Linked DNA regions of Oryctolagus cuniculus. The protein of the gene in region 4 interacts with the protein of the main gene of each other region in a pairwise test. Links are inferred from orthologs where the notes say so. Each region holds a gene or a part of one and is shown on either strand. Other genes may lie near its edges. The genes, in order: BEND7, TBC1D9B, PHF10, L3MBTL2 and PAICS.

Region 1 (4,142 bases), on a different chromosome or scaffold from region 4:
AGAATGTTTAAAATTCCAGGCTATGAGAGAAGTTCCATGTAGAGCATTCCGACAGTTTGAATATGACTTGGCCCCCAAGGTCATGTAGGACTTTCAAGCCCAGAGTCCTAAGATGCTGGCGATGCGAGAGTGGAAACTTAATCAATTACAGTGTCTAGGGGGTGGGAGCGTGCTCTTGGATGGCAGTTACAAAGGCCTGGGCTTTGCTTCCTGGCTCACTCTGTGATCCTCCCTCTGCTTGCATTCCATTCACCTGCCGCCCTCACCAGAGGCCAGGCCAGTGAGGCTGCCCAGACTTGGAGAACCTTCGAAGCTGTGAGCTAAATAAACCTTTTTTCTCTCTTTCTCTCTCTTTTTTTAAAGATTTATTTATTTATTTGAAAGGCAGAGAGAGAGAGAGAGAATCTTCTATCCAATGCTTCACTCCCCAGATGGCTGCAATGGCCAGAGCTGTGCCCATCGGAAGCCAGGAGCCAGGAGCTTCTTCTTGGTCTTGCACACGGGTGCAGGGGCCCAAGGACTTGGGCCATCTTCTACTGCTTTCCCAGGCCATAGCAGAGAGCTGGATCAGAAGTAGAGCAGCTGGGACTTGAACCGGCACCCATATGGGATGCTGGCACTGCAGACAGCTGCTTTACCTGCTGGGCCACAGCGCCAGCCCCCACCTTTTCTCTTTACAGTTCCCTCAGCTATGCTGTTATAGTAATGAAAAGCTAATACAATCATCTACCTGTTCAAATTCACTCAAACCAATTAGAAGAAAATGTTTTCTAAATATAAAATTAACATTACTTGTAAAACATGTACTATAATTTAAAACTGCAAAGAATAAAATTTAAAATACCTAAAGCTTTTCCTCCACAGTGAAACAATTACACAATTCAGTTTTTTTATTGTTTAAGGTATATCAACTTCATGCATTTCATATATACAAATTTAGGAACAGAGTGATTCTTCCCACCCTACCCCCCTCCTCCCTGCCCATACTCCCACCCTTCATCTTCCTCCCCCTCCTGTTCCCACTCTTGATTTTTACAAAGACCTATTTTCAGTTAACTTTATACTCATAAGATTAACCCTACACTAAGTAAAGAGTTCAACAAATGTTATGAAGAAAAAAAAAAACACAGTCACAAAATTCTATCATGCGGTTTATTATTTGACATGAACATGTTTCCTAGTATGTATTCATCTACAACCTCATTTTTAGCAGTTTCTACTCTTGTTCCCCCAAAACTGGTTTAGAATATCCCATGTCTTCCCTTCATGGTGACTCTGACTGGTCTACAGAGAATAGGTCTTTCAGTAGGGCCAGTGTGTATCCGCCTGAAGACAAGACCTTAGAGGACAAAGCATCTGGGGAAAGGTTTGACCATTTCTGGCCACATGGAAGCCCTCTTCCAAGCAACAACAACTAAAGGGACAGTATTCGCTTGCTTTCCGGTGGTTCTCACGTTCCTGTGTAGGATCAACAGAGAACTTCCAAAGGGGACCCTGGCCCTGGGACGTAGCAGGTGCCATCAGTTATCTCCGTGGCTGTGATGCAGTGTTTCTCCCTGTCCCCCGCAGGTTAGGGGGGACTCACAGGCACGCCATTTATCAGGAGACTTAAACGTCCTCTTTTGTTAGCATTTAGCCTAAGATTTTTGGTGACTCCTAAGGAGATTGAAATGTATATCAGAAAGGAGCAAAAGTTTGCATTTTGAAAGCAGAAATGAAGAACCTGAGGGCAGGCCTCGTGGCACAGACTCCCACATCCCACACTGGAGTGCCAGTTCACACTTCCAGTCAGCTTCGTGCTAATGCATGCTGAGAGGCAGTGGATGAGGGCCCAAGTACTTGCCACCTACATGGGAGACCCAGATGGAGTTCTGGGCTCCTGGCTTCTGCCTGGCAGAACCCTGGCCATTGTAACCATTTCAGGATTGAACCACTGCATGGAAGAGCAAGATGCTTGCTCAAATGAAATGGTTTTAAAATATATATGAAAAAAGAAAAGAAACATGCATTTCCTCTTTATGCCCACATTAGATTGGCAGCTGTAGGATCGGGATTTTCAGTCTTCTTAGGGTTTCCCACAGCTGTGTGTCAGGAGTGGTTGTGGGAATGACACATGGAATTCACTGACCTGCACACCTTCAATGACTACATCCAACAGTCCACCTCGGAGGCAGTCGGATGTTTAAGTCTACGTAAACAAGGAAAAACGAACTGAAATCCTTACTGACAGAATAAGGATTCTGATGTTAAAAAATGAATTTTAATACAGGGAAATTGATTTTATATCACTGTCATCATCAAAAGTATTTAAATGATGATACTAAAATCTGGAATGTGAACCAGCTGAAGCTGAAGAGAGAGCGAGACACTGTTGTGTATCCTGGAGTCTTTAAATTGTATTACTGTATTCAGTAAAATGAATGTGCTCCCTGAAACTAATGAGATTTGTGTTTTCTGCTTGTAACCAGCAGAGGTGGCTGACGGTGATGAAAGGCTGGACAGCATTTCTCTACCACCAACAGGTAAAACACATTTACATTTTCATCACCCGCTGCCAAATGCAGCCACAACAATATTTGCATTGAAAATGCTTGTAACATTAGACACGCAGATGCTTGAGCACACTGCTGCTGTAACAGACCCAGGCCTCCTCAGCAGAGCTTCCCAAGCCCTGTGTTCAGAGGGTTGTTTTTTTTTTTTTTAACATGTAATATAAGAAGCATGGAATGTTGTATTTTTCTTACATTCTGCTTCCTAGTCTTAAAAATCTCAGAAGAACAGATCCTAAGAGCTTCGTATTACAACATGTTGATTCCTTAAGCCTTTAAACATTAAAAATTATTTTAACACGAAGTGAAATTTCACTTTAGAATGAGAATCGTGCATTTCGTGTGATGACATGCATGCTTTTTCTGTCTTCTCCCACTTCTTCCAAAAGGCCTCCAACAGGCGATCGGTTCTTTCTATGCTGGATACCCAGTGACTCTTGAGTTTTAATTGAGTGATTAAATAAAGCAGTCCATCCAGCGTGAGTGACACATTCCCGGGACTGTTAACCAGAGCAGCCAAATACAAGCTTACATTGGTGCCTTTGCTACACAATTGTGTTAAACTACAGACAGAATTCTGATTTGACATTATTCAGCTCTCACGTAGTAACTCTGGCCCCGGCCTCCTGCCCGTGTGTTGGTCATTTCTGAGAGCAGGAGGAACAGGTGTCTGATCAATGAGCCGTGTGTCAAACAATTTATTCCCTCACTTGGCCTCAGGAATCCTTATTGACTGCCCTTAAAAGAATACCTGACGACTGCCGACAAAATCCAGGCACCCTAAAAAGCCTTCCAACTGAAAAAAACCAACTTGGTGTTTTTTCCTCTAGATTTAGGGTGGTATTTTTTAAATTAAATTCGGCAATTATTAGTAGAGTAACTAGTGTGAGTAGGTCATGCGTTTATTGACAGTACACATCCCAAGATGGCAATGAAAGCAGAGTCCATATGCTGGTGGACGTCAGAGCACCAAGCAACTCTGCCATGTAGATAATGCATTGCTTTCTCGGCCCCACAGTAGCTAAGCAGCAGATCAATGGGCAAATAAATGAAACAAACCACATAGTGCAAAAAGGACCTGCTTGTATCTAGTTCTCAGCCATATATGACCACTACTTAAAAGGGATTTCTCTCCTTGTTTGGCTCTTTCCACATTTGTGAATTAAGAGAATGGAAACATGAGGTCTCTGTTGTTCCTTCCCAATCTGTCAGCCTCTGAATATCAGGACAACGCATTTCCGCCTGATTCTTTTCAGCCCTGGCGTGGAACAGTGGGCTTTCCTAGTTGTGTTTCCTCCCCAGGGTGTCCCTGCTGTTCCTAGCTGCCTCCTGAGCATCCTCCCTTCCTGTCCTTTCTTCTGTCTTACCATGGGGCTCTTTGAAATAATACTTCCACATGTTCCTGTGTGAAGAGGGAAGCAGAGGTGCTTCGGCTGAGAAAAACTGAGCCCAGGGGATGCTGGGACAGCCTCCCGCAACTGAAAAGAGTTGCAAGGACTCTGAGAATGAGAAGGAACTTGAGAGATCCTGTCGTCCAGTCCCTTCTTTTTATCCAGTCCTTTTATTTTACAGGAAAAAAGCCTGAGGTCCAGA
Region 2 (4,142 bases), on a different chromosome or scaffold from region 4:
CGAGGAGAGCTGTGGCTCCTCTTCTCTGGTGAGCATGGTCCCGTGGCTCATAGACTCGGCTCAGCCAGGCACAGTCCCCAGAGCTCTCCTCACATGAGCCCACCCAGCACTAGGGTTGCCCTCCCAAGGTTGGACAGGCTCCGGCATGTCGGCCATCTGAACTTCCCCGGGCAAAGTGGCTTCCTCCCCTGCAGCGGTTACCTAGGAAATGGCCTCACACCTTGTAACAGACCCCAGAGTCCCACCCCTCCTCACTGGGGCATTGATGCACCCAGCCTGCCCTGTTATTGCCACCAGAGTGCCAGTAGGGGCAGGAGAGACAGCTGCCCCCTGTTTCTCCCCAGGGGCCTGGAATGAGATGGTGACTCACCCCGGCTACTACGCTGAGCTGGTGGAGAAGTCCATGGGGAAGTACAGCCTGGCCACGGAGGAGATCGAGCGAGACCTCCACCGCTCCATGCCCGAGCACCCCGCCTTCCAAAACGAACTTGGCATCGCTGCGCTCCGGCGGGTGCTGACTGCCTACGCCTTCCGAAACCCCACCATCGGCTACTGCCAGGTAAAGGGGCTTAGTGGGGCTCAGAAGAAGCGTCTCTCCGCCGACCAGAGGCTTGCAGGAACAGGTGCTGGGCCCTGGACCTGTGTGGTGGCCTCACGCACCTGTGACAGTGCCCTGTGACCCCAGGAAGGAGCCCAGGAAGGCCACAGGGCAGATGTAACTTAGAAACAGTAGCAATCACCCATCTCATCCCCATGTCATGTGTTGTCGTCTTTGTGCTTCTAGTCTTTGTGCTTCTATTCTTGGTCCTGCGTTTGACTTAAAAAAAAAAAAAAAAAAAGTGCTGCGCTACCCTGGAGGTGGCTCACACATCTTTTTTTTTTTTTTTAAGATTTATTTATTTATTTTAAAGTCAGAGTTACACAGAGAGAGAAGAGACAGAGAGGGAGAGATAGGTCTTCCATCCACTGGTTCACTCCCCAATTGGCCACAATGGCCAGAGCTGCGCTGATCCGAAGCCAGGAGCCAGGAGTTTCTGGGTCTGCCATGCAGGTGCAGAGGCCCAAGGACTTGGGCCATCTTCCACTGCTTTCCCAGGCCATAGCAGAGAGCTGGATCGGAAGAGGAGCAGCTGGGACTCGAACCAGCACCCATTTGGGATGCCAGTGCTTCAGGCCAGGGTGTTAACCCACTGCGCTACAGCACTGGCCCAACTTATTTTTTTTGTATGTGTGATAAAATATATAAGACATACAACTTACCATTTTAATCATTTTTGTTAAAAAAGTTATTAACCTATTTGAAAGACAAAGAGAAGGACAGAGAGAGCTAGAGATATCTTCCATCTACTGGTTGACTCCCAAGATGCCCGCAATAGCCAGGGCTGGGCCATGCTGAAGCCAGCAGCCAGGAACTCCCCTCTGAGTCTCTTACATGGATGTCAGAGGCCCAAGTATTTGGGCCATCTTCAGCTGCCCTCCCAGTTGCATTAGCAGGAAGCTGCATCAGAAGCAGAGTAGGGGCCGGCACTGTGGTGTAGTGGGTAAAGCTGCCGCCTGCAGTGCCAGCATCCCATATGGACACCAGTCCGAATCCTGGCTGCTCCACTCCCAATCCAGCTCTCTCCTGTGGCTTGGGAAAGCAGTAGATGATGGCGCAAGTCCTTGGGCCCCTGCACCAACGTGGGAGATCCAGAAGAATTTCTTGATGCCTGGCTCTGGGCTTCATATGGGTACAGCTCCAGCCATTGCAGCCATCTGGGGAGTGAACCAGCTGATGGAAGACCTCTCTCCCTCTCTCCCTCTGCCTCTCTGCAATTCTGCCTTCCAAATAAATAAGTAAATCTTTGCTGGTGCCGTGGTACAGTAGGTTAATCCTCTACCTGTGGCACCGGCACCAAAAAAAAAAAAAAAAAAAAGTACATCTTTTAAAAAAAACGAAGAAGAAGAAGGAGGAGGAGCAGCAAAGTAGCCAGGACTTGACCCAGCACTCCGATATAGGATGTTCATGTCACAAGCAGACGCTTAACCCCAGTGCCACAACGTAGGCCCCATTTCAATCATTTTTAAGCGTTCAGTTTAGTGGCATTAGGTACATTCACATTGTTGTGCATCCATCATCACCATCCATCCACAGGATGTTCTCACCTTGCCAAACTGAAGTTGTGTACCCATTAAACACTCTCTACGCCGCAGCCCCTGGCCACCACTGTCTCTGTTCTGTCTCCATGCATTTTGCTGTCCTGGACACCTCAGACCTCATGCAGTCTGTCCTTTTGTAACTGGTTTATCACACTGACCAGTGTCCAAGTTTCATCCATGCTGGTGCATGTTTCAGAACGTCTTTCCTTTTCTGTTTTTTCTTTATAAGATGTATTTATTTATTTAAAAGGTAGAGAGCTCTTCCATCTGCTGATTCATTCCCTAAATGGCCCCAGTGGGGTCAGCCAAAGCCAGGAGCCAGACTGTATTCCGGTCTCCAACATGGATGGCAGGGGCCCAAGTACTTGGACCATCTTCTGCTTTCCCAGGTGCATTAGCAAAGAGCTGGATTGGCAGTGGAGCAGCCAGTACTCAAACCAGTGATCACATAGGATGCCAGTGTTACAGGCAGAAGCTTAACCCTCTGTGCCACAGTGGGAGCCCCAATCTAGTTCCCTTTTTTTTTTTTTTTTAAATTACAGAGTTACTCATTTATTTGAAAGGCAGAGTTAGAGGGAGGGAAAGGGAAATAGAGATCTTCATTCCGCTACTGGTTCACTCTCAAATGGCCGTAACAGCCAGGACTGGGTCAGGCTGAAGCTAGGAGACAGGAGCTTCTTCCTACTCTCCCATGTGGGAGGCAGAGGCCCAAGCATTTGGGCCATCATTTGCTGCTTTCTCAGACCATTAGCTGAGACCTGGATCGGAAGTGGAGCATCCAGGACACAAACTGGCACCCATATGGGATGCTGGAGTCATAGGTGACAGTTTAACCTGCTATGCCACAATGCTGGCCCCAATTTATTTCCTTTTAAGTCTTGGTCATATTCTGATTTATATTCCATGTTTTCTTTGCCCATGCATCCCACTGGCGGACACCGGGGTTGCTCTGCCTTCTGGCTGCTGTGACAGCTGCCCACGTCCCTGCTTTCAGTTCTCGAGGGTGTGTCCTCAGAGGTGGTACTGCTGAGTCTCACGGTGGCCCTGTGCTGGACACCGCAAGAGCCTCCACACGGTGGCCCTGTGCTGGACGCCGTGGGAGCCTCCACACGTCACAGCAGCTGCACCTTCTGCATGCCCACCAAGCATTCCCAAGGGTTCTTCTTGCCAGCATTTGTTGTATTCTGTTGGGCTGTTGGCAGTGGCTATCACTGGGGATTTTAGATGCATTTCTGGCAATTTGGTTTTGAAATCTAGTGGCCATTGTCCTGGCCAGATCAAATGGTTTCTGTTTACCTTAAATTGCACTGGGATTTCAAGGAAGCCAACTGCTCACAATTTCTGTGTGCTGTATTACCAACTCACAGAGACCGGTGCAGTGTGCTTGAGGTCATTGTTAGGGCTGGCCTTGTGGCAAAGCTGTGCATCCCAAATCAGTACAGATTCGAGTCCCAGGTATTCCAGCTTCCTGCTGATGCACCTGGGAACGCAGCAGAAGATGACTGAAGTACTTGGGCCCCTGCCACCTATGTGGGAGGCCTAGCCATGTGGCCAGGCTTTCTGGCCCTGGTTTTGGCCTAGCCTACCCCCAGGGAAGATGGATTTCTCTCTCTCTTTCTCTCTCTCTCTCCCTTTCAAACAAATCTTTTAAAAATTAGTTTAAAAAAAAAGATAATTTTTAAAAACAAATTTGCCAGATAGCCGCTTCTTCCTGAGTCTTAGCATCAGCTACTGCAGTGCACGGCTATGGCCTGGCCACACAGCTCCTCCCCACCTGGAGGTCCTGCAGCTGGACCCTGCAGCTCAGCAGACACCACCACCCAAAAGAGTCCTTGCTGATGCCTGCCCTCCCTGTCCTCCCAGGGCCTTCTCACCTGGCCAGTGTGTTTCTGTCAAGTTGATTTCCTGCAAATTGCCTGCTGGAAGATTGCCCAGAGTGGGGCAGGCATGCCATTAGAGGAGGCCGGTGTTGGGAGGGGACATTTTATGTGTTGGCCAGCAGC
Region 3 (4,142 bases), on a different chromosome or scaffold from region 4:
TTGGCCTCGTAAGTCTGAAAGTGCCACGTGAGTCTCCTTCTTCTTGGTTTATAGAAGGTGTTACTTCCAACGTGCCTTTTGCTTTGATACTTCAGATAATTGTTTCTCTTCCTATTACCTGTTTTATATTTTTTTGGCTTGTCACAACATCAAGCCATAACAGGCAAAGAATTTAAATACTTAAAAGAGCTTTCAAAATATCCTCAAAAATTAGAAGTGATAAGTTTGATGGAAGCCACATTGAAGACATAATGTGTATCTTTTGTGCTTAGCTTCAGTTACTATCCAGCAGAAAACCTGATAGAGTACAAGTGGCCACCTGATGAAGCCGGAGAGTACTACATGCTTCAGGAACAAGTCAGTGAATATTTGGGCGTGACCTCCTTTAAACGGAAATATCCAGGTACTTGAGTCTTAGCTGTGTGATAATGAAATCTAACTTCTTAACTAAGAGTAGTTTTTTATGATAGCTTATCAACCACTGAATTCTTGGATGTGGATTATTGGTAATATATATTTTATTCTTGTGCGCTCTGATTTTCATTTATTGGCATTCAGCTTCTCCACCTATTGATGTGTTATTATGTCTCACGAACTGATATAAAAGCAAAATGAGAAAGGGGACTTTCCTGGAGAAATTTAAGACAAAACCCATCTCTAGCCATGAGTTTGTTTTGCCACTGCTCCTTGACTTTAGGAATGAGTTAGTACAGAAGCCATGCTTGAGTTGCAGGAGGACTACCTTTGATGAATTGTTCCGTACAGTTATTTATGTTATCTTTGGGTTATTCTGTTTTCAGTTTTATTCCTTGAATTCAAACAATTTTTGTGTAGCCCCTTTAACAGTATTTGAGATACATGACATGAAGTACTTTTAAACAGAAAATTTTTAAGCTTTTGTAAGTTTTATAATGCATAATGCTTTACTGTTATTAATAGTCTTCTGTTCTTCCCTTTTGGAGATTTAGAGAGACGAGATTTGTCTCATAAGGAGAAACTGTACCTGAGAGAGTTAAACGTCATCACAGAAACTCAATGCACTCTAGGTAATAGAAGCTTGCTCTTTTTTTTTTTTTTTTAAAGATTTATTTATTTGAAAGGCAGAGTTACACAGAGAGAGAAGGAGAGGCAGAGAGAGAGAAAGAGGTTGTCCATCTACTGGTTTACTCCCAATTGGCTGCAATGGCTGATACTGCACCGATCTGAAGTCAGGAGCTTATTCTGGGTCTCCCATGTGGGTGCAGGGGCCCAAGGACTTGGGCCATCTTCTACTGCTTTCCCAGGCCACAGCAGAGAGCTGGGTTGGAAGTGGAGCAGCTGGGACTTGAACCAGCGCCCATATGGAATGCAGGCAGTGACTTTACCCACTATACTACAGCGCTGGCCCCAGAACCTATACTTTTAAAAAAATACCATGCAGGGTGCTGGTGCTGTCATGTAGCGGGACCCTGCACCTGTGCTGGAGACCCGGAAGAAGCTTCTGGCTCCTGGCTTTTGGCTGCAGATTGGTGCCACTCTAGCTGTTGTGGCCATCTGGGACGTGAACCAGCAGAGGGAAGGCCTGCCTCTCTCTCTGTCTCTCTCTCTCTCTCTCTTTCTTTCTCTTTCTCTTTCTCTTTTTCTCTCTGCCTGCCTGCCTCTGCCTCTCTGTAACTCTGCCTTCCAAATAAATCTTTAAAAAAAAGTATAGGTTCTTATCTCTTAAAAGGGAAATTTTGCTGAATATTCAGTTTTGTGTAATATTCTCCATACTTTATACTTTTCCTTTGATAAGCATTTTAATGTAGTGTATAGTGTGGCTCTTTTTTTCTTTTTTAAAAGACATTAATATAAATTATTTGAAAGGAGGAATTAGAGGGAGGGAGAGGCAGACACTGGCTCACTCCTCAAATGGTTCAAAGCCAGGAACACTGAATTCCATCCGGGTCTCCCTGTGGGTGGCAGGGTCCAAGCACTTGAGCCATCCTCCGCTGCTTTCCTAGAAGCATCAGCCGGGAGCTGGACGTGAAGTGGAGGAGCCAGGACTTGAACTGTCAGTTAACACAGGATGTTGGCATCAGCCCTGTGTGGCTCCTTTTCTGTGTGAATGCACGAGAGTTCATTTTAGCAGCTGAGTAAAATCTGACACTATCACGTTTTGAAAATTGTGTTCATGATGTGTGTATGCGCTGATGCTTTTGGTAAAGTTTGGGTTGATTATAATATTTCTGGTATGGAATTTGAAGGCTAGGAAAAACCAGTAGTTTGAAAAGCTTTTTTTTTTAACTGATATCCTGTATCCTGTTAGGAGTTAGACTGTATTGTTTTTGGCAGTTGTTTGTAGATAAAGGGATATATGCTTATATGAGGGTACTTCAAAAAGGTTTTGGATAATGAAATTAAAGGATAAGTTTATTTTGGTACAAAACAATTTTGAATTAATGCATGCTGAGGGTCTTCAAAAATTCCATGCAAAATGGGTGTTAAGAAAATACCATGCATGGGTTTCAAAATCTTTTGCATCCAAATAAATTTTATTGTCATTTCCTATGAACTTTTTGAAGTTCCTTTGTAGAATACATAGGATCTAAAAAACTCATTTGGTTGAAAATGGATTTATTTATTTGAGAGGCAGAGAGAGCAGACAGAGCTAGTGGAGCCGCAGCTGGGAGCCATGAACCCGTCCGCATCTCCCTGTTGGGGAGCAAGAGCCCAGTCGTGGGTGCTCTCCCTGCTGCCTCCCGGGCTGCGTGGCAGGAACCTGGATCAGGAGCAGAGCTGGGGTGGACAGGCTTCGGCACGGGACGTGGTCTCAGCTGGCATCTCAGCTGTGAGGCCAAATTCCCACCCCGATCTTGCTTTTTGGTTGCTTGATGTCATTATACTACAGGTACTACTTTTAGCTGTTTTAAAATAGTTTGCTTTGTTTGAAAACCTTCTAAATGTAGTTTGAAAGAGAGGCAAATTCAAGAGTGTTTTTGTTCCCTTGAGAGTTACTTTCTTTTTAAAAATTTTTCTAATACAGGTTTAACAGCATTGCGCAGTGATGAAGTGATTGATTTAATGATAAAAGAATATCCAGCCAAACATGCTGAATATTCTGTTATTCTGCAAGAAAAAGAGCGTCAGCGAATTACAGACCATTACAAAGAATATTCTGTGAGTGACTGGGAGTGACCACCGCGCCTTGTTTGGGTTTGGGAGGATGACATGTGACTTTCAACTGCACTGTTTCTGTTTCAGCAAATGCAACAGCAGAACACTCAGAAAGTCGAAGCCAGCAAAGTGCCTGAGTACATCAAGAAAGCGGCCAAGAAAGCAGCTGAGTTTAACAGCAATTTAAACCGGGAGCGCATGGAAGAGAGAAGAGCCTACTTTGACTTACAGACACATGTAGGGTGATTTAAGCTCAGGAGTCTCTGGGCCTAGCTCCTTGCTTGTCACTGCAGAGTGGCGTTACCCCCTTACTGTTTGTTATGCTACCTGTCCTCTTCCTCCCACTGGAACGTAGGAAGCCGTGTGTAGTTACGTGCCAGGGACACCCAGCCTGCTGTCTGGGGAGCTGTGTGCCCTTCATTGCGGCTCTGCTGAGTGAGACTGCAGTAGCTGCTTCTCATACTCTGTGTGTGTCCGAGGGTGTCAGAACTCTCCATGTGCCTTGATTTCTCAGTTCTGACCGCATGAGGTTGGGACTGGCGTCATCACCGTTTCATACGTGAAGAAGTTGAGCCTCAGAGGGGTTGTGTAAGCCGCCCGGCTCCTGTCCTCGTTATGTGGCGAGCGCGAGAGGCACTGCGCTTCTTGGGAATTGTGCTCACAGTCGAAGGCAGACAAGACCGTGCTGTGTCTAGCTGGGAAGCACAGGTCTCTGCTCCATGTTCCTTAAATCTGTAGCTGTCGTAAAGGGGGAAGGGCGCACGCAGTGGAGAGCAAATCGGCTTCCTTTCCCGAAGGAATTCCATGATTCTAGGCGTGGAATGAGCTCTGTGTTTTTGTTAACACAGGTCATCCAGGTGCCTCAAGGAAAGTACAAAGTGTTGCCTACTGAGCGAACAAAGGTCAGTTCTTACCCAGTGGCTCTCATCCCGGGACAGTTCCAGGAATATTACAAGAGGTATTCATTACCAGAGTTTTGGTTACCATTCGTATCAGCTTTTGGTGAT
Region 4 (4,745 bases):
AGAGGAGGAGGAGGAGGTGGTGGAGGAGGAGGAGGCGGAGGCCACACTGAACACATCTGAACGGACCTCACCTAAGCGAGGCTGCCCGGCCTCCCTGGGCTGTGTGTGTAACAGCGGGGCTAAGGGAACTTCAGAAAGACAACTGGGGAAACAGGTCAGTGAGGAAGTTTTCAAGACAGAGAAGTCAAAGAGAAAAACATGTATTAGGTAGAAGTGCCCAAGTCGCTCAATCCTTGTGGCTCCATTATCTCATGGATACAGTAAAGAGACTGAGCTGGGTCAGCGTTTCAACCCTGACTTCACATTACAGACACCTGGGGAGCTTAAACGCTTGCCCACGCCAGGCATTCTACGGAACTGGTCTGCACCGGGGCACCGCCATCTGCAGTGTGTCGGGCATCCCCTGTGGGATTCCAATGTGCAGCCAGGGCCACAACTGGTCTCTACTGGTCGCTTCTAGTTCTAAGGTTCTAAGGTTCTACGGGAAGGGCTGGAGGAAGACAGAAGGGAGAAAGACGAGAGAGGAGAGAGGATGAGAAGACAAGATGAACAGAAAGGAAGTAAGATTCAAAGGCAGACTATCGCACTTCTGAAGAGTTTACCTCCCAGGGAACGGGAGTGTCGTCACACAGGCGGCCCTGACACAGGGAGGGCCCAGACCCCGTCCAAGGACCACAGCTAGCTCCAAAGCCACCTGGCTTCCAGATGACCCTCGGGGACTCCTACTGCCCACCCCCACCCCATTCCTCGTACCCAGAGGTCACGTTATTCTCTATTTCCCCTCCCATCGCCTAACTGGCAACCCGCAAGCTATTTCTTGTCCCTGGTAAGTGACCACAGCCCTTCAAGCTTTCCTGTCCTCTAAATATCCAGGCTTAGAAGTCAACGGCCTGCTTACACAAATGCAGAGGCAGCACCATGGCACTGACGGGCATCTAAGAGTGCCGAGGGAACATCAGCTGTGTGAAAGAACGCAATCGCGATCTGCATCCGGACTGCCGCACAGGAAACGTCCCTTGCGGCTGCTCGGGCTGCGTCTGTCTCTCTCAGGTCTTTGGACATGAGCAGAAAGCCCTGTATCCATCCCCCTATTCCTCCATGACCTCCTGACTCCTCTCCATCTTCAGGACACATTCTGAAGGCACCTGGCTCAGAACCACTGCCATCCATGGAGCGCGGAGTCCCAGGGCTCAGCAGGTGCAGAGGGGAGGTGGGCAGCTCCCCGGCTTCTCGATCCTCATTCTCTGGCTCACTCGACTCCTCCAGATAGGAGCTGCTCTCACTGCCCACACTGCTGTTATAACTCCGGAAACTGTCATAGCCACCAAACAGCTCCAAGTCGCCGTCTTCCTCTTCTTCCTCCATTGGTTCCGAAGACGGGGTCTCCTAGAGGACGGATGACACAAACCAGACAGAAGGGCTTTGGTGCGTCAGGAGGGGCTGCAGATGTGCTACTCAGTCTCCTGCTGGTTCTCTGCCAAGTCCACACTTCGGGGAATCTTCCAAATACCCTTTCTGCAAACATCAGGATTACTGTTTGCATAACATTTCTCTACCATAACTCAACAGAATGGCATTAACAAGACAGAAATATTCACCAGGCTCCTCTGTGGATTTACAAATGTTGTATTAACATGAATTCTAAACTCATGATGGGGTTTTGTCCTCATAAACTCACTGTAAGTTGAAAACACAACAAGTCAAAGATGGGTTTAAATTACGTAATCTACGCACACCACAGCTTGGTAGTACGGCACACTGTGCAGTATGGGTTGTTTGCCTCATGACTGTGGGGCTACCGTATATGAATCTGCCTAACAGGTAGTTTAAAAGGTATGTAGCAAGCTGAAGGCCTGGGCTCTGACCTAGAGCTGAAGTGCCAGCGCTGGCGATTACTGGCATGTGACCCACGGCAAGCCGGAATCGCAGTGCCTTAGTTTCCACGTCTGTAAAAGGAGGATAATACCCCCTACTTCACAGGATTTGCGGGAGAAGTAAGAGTTAATGGAGCTGAAGCACCTAGAACAGTGACTCGAGTGCTCCATAATGTTGGCGAAAAGCATGGGCGCTCAGATCAGATACGCGTGGGTGTGAATGCTGGCTGTTGCACTTCTCAACTGTGTGATTTTCCGTTTTCTTCATCAATACAATGCGGGTAATAACAAGCCTTTAGCGGACTGTTGGGGGCACTGAGATGGGTGAAACCTGGTTCTATTTCCGGCAGAGGGTAAGCGCTCACCGTATAAGCTATTACTCTTACTCCACGTTTTAACAGTCTCCTTTACCATCATCGAATTTTGGAGGTAGTACACTCTCTATTTGCAGCTGTACATAGACACACGCTAGAACGGAAGCCGATTCCAGTACCCTAAGGGGTCCAGAAGCCAAAGGATGAGGGGGTGGGTTGCAGGTCATAGTGGGGTAGATAAAACCTAGCCGGCCAGGTGTTGCAGGCTGACAGACTCCGCACCCACTTCCTTCATCTCGAGCTGTGTGCACGTCCCCGGGGAGTCGCACCAGCTCCCTGCGCCTCCGCTGCTTCAGCCATAAACACGAAGCCCGTGCAAGCTCCAGGCGCGGAGCAACGTTCGCTCAACTCGAGTCTCCCTCCCCCGCCCTGGACGTGACGGGCACCGCGATCGCAGAGGAACACGGCCACGAGACCAGGAGGACAAAGAGGATCCAGGCGTTCTCCGTCCTGGGGCGCAGTTCCGCTTCCCCCCAGCGAGGGAGGCTGTTCCGCCCTGAACTCCTCGCCAGACGCGGGTCCCAGCACTACCGAAGCAAAACGGACCGCGGATCGCCTCTGGCCCTGGCTCAGCCCGCCTACCTCAGTTTACCCATCCTTCCCCCTTCCACCCTCGAGGCGTCGCTAAGAGAGACGGGCCCATGGAGCGACGCGCTCGGGGTTCCCTCGCCCAGTCGCGCTAGGTCCTCTCCCTCTCACCTCAGCGCCCCGTGGTTTCTCCATGAGACTTAGTTTCTCAAACCGTCACCAGGTGTAGGAAGCCATATTGGCCTCAGCGCTCTCCCCGAGCGCACTCATTGGCCAGCTCCCTGAGCCGCGGACCAATCAGGCTTCCGGGTAGAGGAAAAGCCGGTTCCGCGCCCGCCCGTGCTCCGCCTCCCCCGGGGCGGGGAAAGCCGCGGGCGATTGTGGGTCTTGTAGTTTCCTTCGGGTGTGCGCGAAGGGTAGTGCCCTAGCGTGGAAATCCCCACCTTGACTGTTCTCATTGTGCCTTCCTCTCTATTGGCCTCTTTTTTTAAAAAAATTCATATATATTCATTCTCGTTTTGTTTGAGAGGGAGGGAGAGAAGGAGCGAGCGACCGCTGCCATTTGCTGGTTCATTCCCCAAATGCCTCCAGCAGCTGTGGCTGGGGCAGGTGACAGCTAAGAGACTGAAACTCCATTCAGGTCTCTCACGTGGGTGGCAAGAATCCAAGTTCTTGAGCCACCATCTGCTGCCTCTCAGACTGGATTTGTAGGAAGCTGGATCAGAAGCTAAGCAGCTGGGACTCAACCAGCACTCTGGTAAGGGGATGCCAGCGACTTAAACTCTGTTCCAAATGCCCACCCTTTTCCTCTCTAAGTCATAACACCTGCCCCTATTAATATTTAAAAAATGGGGATGGACATCTGGTGCAGCAGTTAAGGCATCTACTGCTTGGGATGCCCACATCCCATATCATGGCTTTGCTCCCCATGCTAACTTCCTATCAACATGAACCCTCAGAGGCAGCAGGTGATGGCTCACGTACTGAGTCTGCCGCCCACGTGGAAGGCTCTGACTGAGTTCTGCTCTTCTGGTTTGGGGACATTTGGGGAGTGAACCAGTGCTTGGAGGATATCTGTTTCTCTGCTTTTCAAATCAATATAAATATGTTAAAAATAGATTTTAAAAAGTGTAACAATGAATCTCACAGGCAGACAATCTACTAATGATGTCATATTTTTCATCATGTATTTATTTAATACCTACTACATGCTGGACTGGGGAAACACAAATGAACATCTCTGTTTTCAGGGAGCTGACCCCTGTAGGGAGACAGTGAAGACTCAGTCAACAGCATCCAGTTCCCACTGAGAAGGAATTTAGCAGGGCGCTGTGATGGAGAATAGGGAAGGGAACTCATTGAGAGGGAGATTAGGGGGAAAAAGGCTTGCTGGGTAGGCAACTTACTTTCCTTGATGGATGAAAAGATGACCTTTAGGAGAAAGGAGTGGTTGGGGGTGGGGGAAGACTTATCAGGTAGAGACCTGGAATTTAGAGAGTAAGATGGAGAACAGCAATGGTTAGCAGGAGATGTGGTGGGAAACCTTTGAAGATTTTTTTTTTTTTTTTTTGGACAGGCAGAGTTAGACAGTGAGAGAGAGAGAGAGAGAGAGAAAGGTCTTCCTTCCATTGGTTCACCCCCCCAAATGGCCAATACGGCTGGTGCAATGCACCGATCCGAAGCCAGGAGCCAGGTGCTTCCTCCTGGTCTCCCATGCAGGTGCAGGGCCCAAGCACTTGGGCCATCCTCCACTGCCTTCCCCGGGCCACAGCAGAGAGCTGGACTGGAAGAGGAGCAATTGGGACAGAATCCGGCGCCCCAACCGGGACTAGAACCCGGGGTGCCGGCGCCGCAGGTGGAGGATTAGCCAAGTGAGCCGCTGGTGCCGGCCACCTTTGAAGATTTTTATGCAGGGAAGTGAATCTACTGAATGTATTTTTTTTTTTTAATCATTCTGTGTGTGGAGAGT
Region 5 (4,585 bases), on a different chromosome or scaffold from region 4:
GAATCTAATTTTGATGCCACAAGACCTTACTGGAAGGAGATCCTAATCATGAGAAAGACAGATGATGACACAGGTGACGAAGTTTGAGGACTTAAACATTCCCAGAAGGGCGCTCACCCTCCTGCTCCTGGAGCTGGATTCATTCTGACATCAGCACTTTTTGAGCGCACCCACTGCCAGGCACTGGGGATCTATGGGCGCAGGAGACACAGCTCCTGCTCTCGTAGGACCCAGGGTGATACTACACACAGCATCACAGGAAGTTAATGCAATAACCACAGATTGTGGAAACACATGTTCATAGCAGTGCCACCTACCTAAACTACTTTAGACAGCAGAGAAGGAGTCTAGAAGAAAGTGACAACTAGGTAGATATCTGAAGAATGATCAAAATTTAGCCAGGAAGAAAGGGAGGGACTGGTGGTGGTGGCTAAATGAAGGTGCAGAGTGTTCAGCAGAACTGCAGTGTGGCTGCAGCACCAGCGCTGTGGGTGCAGGTCCCTCGCCACGGGGACAGCAGGAAGCGAGACCCAAGACTTGTGCAGGGCTCACATTAGCAGCTGGCAGAGGCAAGCACTAGCGACAGCTCAGCACAATAGCTGCTACCCTAGGGCACCTAATTTAGAGGATGAATCTGTATCCTCCTAACATACTATCCACCAGACTCAGCAACAGGCTTAAAAAACCCTGCAGCGGGGAGCAGGCACTTGGCCTAGCAAAGATACCCCCTTCTCACATCAAGAGCTCCTGGGTTCCACCCCCGGCTCTCACTTCCTGCCAGTGCAGACCCTGGGAGGCAGTGGTGATGGCTCAAGTAATCCGGTTCCTGTCACCCATGGAGAAGACCTGGCTTGAGTCCATGGCTCCTAGCTGCAGGCATGTAGGAGTGAAACAGCACCTGCGAGAGCCTGCTCACCCTCTTGCAGATAAAAAACAAACCCTCCAGCATACAGCCCCAGTTTAGTGCTCTATACTTATTTCTCCAGTCCCTGCCTAGCGTTCCAACTTCTTCCATGGAATTCTTATCCCCCTCCTGCCCACTTCTGTTCCTTTCTCTTCCATTTCCTCAGGCCTTGTAGGCCAAGTTGATTGAGCTGACTTTATCCTAGGAACAACCATAGATAGGGCTTTTAAGCTCTGTAGTGAAATGCTAGATTTGCATTCCAGAAAGATCCTTGTGGTTGCTGTGTGGAGAACGAAGGCATGGTTGGAACAAAACCAGACTCTGGGAGACCCGTTAGGAAGCTGCTGCTACTGCAGCAACCCAGGCAAGAAATGTCACAGTCTAAGGGAAAAGCAGTGGGAGAAGAGGCAAGATGTTTGAGAGAGAGAGAGAACCGATTCAGTGTGGTGGACAAAAGAGCTATAGGAAGCAAGAATGGTTCAATCTCTGCTTATTGCCCAGTCATGAAATAGGACAGCAATGGCAATGGGTAGACTCAACCATCCGGACACTTGCTCAAAGTGCCAAAATGCTGTCAATTATTAGATGAGTTCAGAAGAGACTGAGAAGGACTGAGAATGGCTCATGGAACTGAAATTTAAAAGTTATCAAAAGCATAGAATTTCCATAGAAAAGAACTTTACCAGGCAATCATCAAACACTTGAAACATGATGACTCCAAACTGAGATGTGATTTATGTATAAACTACACACCACACTCAACGTGGAAAAAAAAAGGATGCAAAATACCTCAAGGAATTTTTTCTATAAATCACATGTTGAAATGTTCATATTTGGGATATCCTGGGTTAAATAAAAGCCATTAAAACTCATTTTACCAAATTTATAAAAAACTTCAGAAAGAGGGCTGTTAAAAAACAAATTTATGTATATGGTTCACTTTATATTTCTTTTAGCCAGCATTGTTCTAGAACAACAATAACAAAAAGAAAAAATAAAATGTGACCTCTGTGAATTAAACTCACTGGAATGTAGGGTAAGGATTCCTACCAAGACAAATTAGGGTGGAAGAGGTAGGAAGGACAGCTTTACGCAGGGTTCCAATCACAGGAACTTAGGAACAGGCTGCAACAGCTCCAGGGAAGCCACTGAGCATTTTTCTGACCAAGACGGGCCTTCATTCTGGGAAAGCTAACCTGCCACTGGTATCCAAGATGTAAGTGCTGGAACAAAACCTTGAGAGGTCCCACCAGGTTCAGGCACCCTGACTGCAGGAAAAACTGGCCAGCCCTTGGTTTTATGGAGCGGTTGCGCAATTATCAAAATGCTGTAACTTTGCAGAAGAGTTCAGAAGAGGCTGATGAGGACTAAGGATGGCTGAAGGAATCGGCTCTTCCCGGTGAGTTTACAACGCTCTTTTTACGATGGCTCACTCCCCAGCTGGCCGCAACCGCCAAGCCAGGAGCCCTATCCAGGCCTCCCACGTGGGCGCAGGGGCCCAGTCCCTCGGGCCATCCTCTGCTGCTTTCCCGGGCCAGGACTCGAACCTTCGCCATCACGCCGGCCCCAGCTTACAACTCTCTGATCTAAATCCAGTTTGTCTCCTACGTGCAAAAAGAATGTACTGGCGGATGACACAGGCCATCTGGTTCACTGCGTATTTGTCGGAAACATCGTATCACGTCCGATTCCACATCCACGGCAAGAACCATCGTTCCAGTCGACCTGAGCGCAAAGGTTACCGCTACGACGTAAATGCGGTAAATGCAAAATGAAGCTAGCAACCCTTTTTTTTTTTTGTTTTTGCCTGCAGGTTTTGGAACTCAGCAAAGCCATCAAAGACTGCTTTAAAAAGTAAAAAAAAAAAAAAAAAAAAAGACCAAACTGCACAAAACCTGGCCAGATTTTCAGTTTAATCAAGAACCTGGAACAACCAAGACTCTAGGGTTTGAAGTCAGCACCAGAATTTCAAGCAGTTGCTTTGCAATAGCTATTCATGACCAGAGCGCTTCCGACCGCCTTTTGTCCCAGGGACCCGCCCCACGCTCGCCCCTCGCCACCGCGTCCCGCGCTCCGGGCGCTCGGGCCACGTGTGCGTCCGCCCAGAGCCCGGCCGCCTCAGCCGCCTCGGCCACCTCAGCCGCCGGGCCGGCCCCGGGCGCCCGCCACTCACCCTCGGCCGTCGCCATTATCCCGAGTGGACCAAGGGCCGCACAAATCTGGAAAAGAGGCCGAGAGGCGCAGCGCGCGGGCCGCGGAGGCGGGGCTCTCGCAGAGTCGGCGGCCGCCGCCGCGCAGCTCGGCCGACCGCGATCTACGTGCGAATGCACGCGGCAGGGTCTCTGCCCGGGGCTTCCCGCCGCGCAGGCGCGCCGGCGCGACCCCGCCCCCGGGCGGCGTTCCCGGGGAGCCGGAAAGTGGCGCGCGCTGGCGGCCCCTCCCCGCTCCGCGCCGACCGCAGGCTGGGGCCCCTCGGAGCCGGAGGAAGCCGGTCAGGGCTTGGAGCGTACCAAGTCGTCCCGGCCGGGGGAAGGCACGTGCGGAGGGGCGCGCGACGTGTGCCTCTTGGGCGAGGGCCAGGATGCTAACCCCGTTATTCTCGTCACCCCAGCATTGAGGACTAGAGAGTAACGGAGATTTCCACGTGCGGGAGAGTATACTGTCCGGGCGTCTCCGGGGGTGGGGGAGGAGTAGCTCCACCCCTACTGTATGCGGGACTCCTCCCCTCGGCCGCGGAGCCTCGCTCTCTGCCCTCACTCATTGGCGGGCCCTGTGGGGGGCGGGACGCGGGGGCTGCGGCCCCGCCCACGGAGGGGGCGGGGACAGCACGCGCCGCCGCAGTAGCGAGCAGACGCTCGGTGCTGGGGAGGAAGCCGCTGTCTCCGGCGCGGTCTTCTGAGGCGTTGGTTTCAAGGCTGCAGCTGGTTGGTGCGCCGACCCGGGCCGCGGCTGCAGCTTCCTCCACGTGCTTTCGGCGGCGACATGGAGCTGGAAGAGTTAGGAATCCGAGAGGAATGTGGCGTGTTCGGGTGCATCGCCTCAGGAGAGTGGCCCACGCAGCTGGATGTGCCGCATGTGATCACGCTGGGACTCGTGGGGCTGCAGCACCGGTGAGCCGCGCGGGGAGGGCGGGGGTGGCGGTGCCTCTCGCGAGCGCTCGAGGGCCCGGAGCCCTGGCCTCCGTTACCTGGACGTGCACCTGCCCGTGGCACGCCCCGGGACGTTAACGCACACAGTCCCGTGCCTCTTGCCTTTTGGGGCCCTCACTCCCCTCCGAGTCCCGCCAGCTTCTGAGGTTCCGCTAGGCTCGTCCCCGACTGCCTGCGGGTTCTGGCGCCCCCCGAACGTGGGGCTGCTCGCGGGGTAGGCTCGTGCCGGGAGGTGCCCGGACCCGGTCCGACGACCAGCACAAGCTTTTGTTTCCAGGACACAGCCCTGGAGCCGGTGGTGGGTTTGAGAGTAGTCACAGCAGTGGGAACTGGAGGGGAGGAGGGGGTCCCGGCGTCCGGATCCGGGAGACTTGGAGTAACCTGTGGAGGGGACGCACGAGCGAGCTAGGGAGATGCCAAAATGAGCTTCCCTGGAAAGGGGGAGTGAGGAGTGGGGCTGGTGCTCCCGCGTCAGGACGAGCCACATGGAAATCGGAAAGCTGGGAGAGCCCCTCCAGTTAAGACCCAACTT

What was found.
Region 1: the proteins of L3MBTL2 (region 4) and BEND7 interact in binary tests that used the Homo sapiens proteins (3 or more experiments, as listed by UniProt). The two-hybrid records come from large-scale screens. The link is inferred for Oryctolagus cuniculus from reciprocal best matches to the Homo sapiens genes L3MBTL2 and BEND7.
Region 2: the proteins of L3MBTL2 (region 4) and TBC1D9B interact in binary tests that used the Homo sapiens proteins (3 or more experiments, as listed by UniProt). The two-hybrid records come from large-scale screens. The link is inferred for Oryctolagus cuniculus from reciprocal best matches to the Homo sapiens genes L3MBTL2 and TBC1D9B.
Region 3: the proteins of L3MBTL2 (region 4) and PHF10 interact in binary tests that used the Homo sapiens proteins (3 or more experiments, as listed by UniProt). The two-hybrid records come from large-scale screens. The link is inferred for Oryctolagus cuniculus from reciprocal best matches to the Homo sapiens genes L3MBTL2 and PHF10.
Region 5: the proteins of L3MBTL2 (region 4) and PAICS interact in binary tests that used the Homo sapiens proteins (3 or more experiments, as listed by UniProt). The two-hybrid records come from large-scale screens. The link is inferred for Oryctolagus cuniculus from reciprocal best matches to the Homo sapiens genes L3MBTL2 and PAICS.

What each region holds. Positions count from the first base shown.
Region 1 is NC_091444.1:69,235,768-69,239,909, forward strand, and holds the end of BEND7 (BEN domain-containing protein 7), read left to right. Parts: intron 1-2,468; coding exon 2,469-2,704; 3' UTR 2,705-3,648; downstream 3,649-4,142.
Region 2 is NC_091437.1:67,605,287-67,609,428, forward strand, and holds part of TBC1D9B (TBC1 domain family member 9B), read left to right. Parts: coding exon 1-28; intron 29-344; coding exon 345-559; intron 560-4,142. UniProt on the Homo sapiens protein: May act as a GTPase-activating protein for Rab family protein(s).
Region 3 is NC_091436.1:633,734-637,875, forward strand, and holds part of PHF10 (PHD finger protein 10), read left to right. Parts: intron 1-272; coding exon 273-403; intron 404-962; coding exon 963-1,046; intron 1,047-3,004; coding exon 3,005-3,138; intron 3,139-3,222; coding exon 3,223-3,372; intron 3,373-3,983; coding exon 3,984-4,093; intron 4,094-4,142. UniProt on the Homo sapiens protein: Involved in transcription activity regulation by chromatin remodeling. Belongs to the neural progenitors-specific chromatin remodeling complex (npBAF complex) and is required for the proliferation of neural progenitors.
Region 4 is NC_091442.1:117,284,382-117,289,126, reverse strand, and holds the start of L3MBTL2 (lethal(3)malignant brain tumor-like protein 2), read right to left. Parts: upstream 3,103-4,745; 5' UTR 2,972-3,102; coding exon 2,948-2,971; intron 1,516-2,947; exon of another isoform or gene 1,387-1,515; coding exon 1,146-1,386; exon of another isoform or gene 936-1,145; coding exon of another isoform or gene 899-935; intron 1-898. UniProt on the Homo sapiens protein: Putative Polycomb group (PcG) protein. PcG proteins maintain the transcriptionally repressive state of genes, probably via a modification of chromatin, rendering it heritably changed in its expressibility.
Region 5 is NC_091439.1:108,089,770-108,094,354, forward strand, and holds the start of PAICS (bifunctional phosphoribosylaminoimidazole carboxylase/phosphoribosylaminoimidazole succinocarboxamide synthetase), read right to left. Parts: upstream 3,250-4,585; 5' UTR 3,094-3,249; coding exon 3,078-3,093; intron 1-3,077. Other genes in the region: PPAT (amidophosphoribosyltransferase), read left to right, coding at 3,887-4,014. UniProt on the Homo sapiens protein: Bifunctional phosphoribosylaminoimidazole carboxylase and phosphoribosylaminoimidazole succinocarboxamide synthetase catalyzing two reactions of the de novo purine biosynthetic pathway.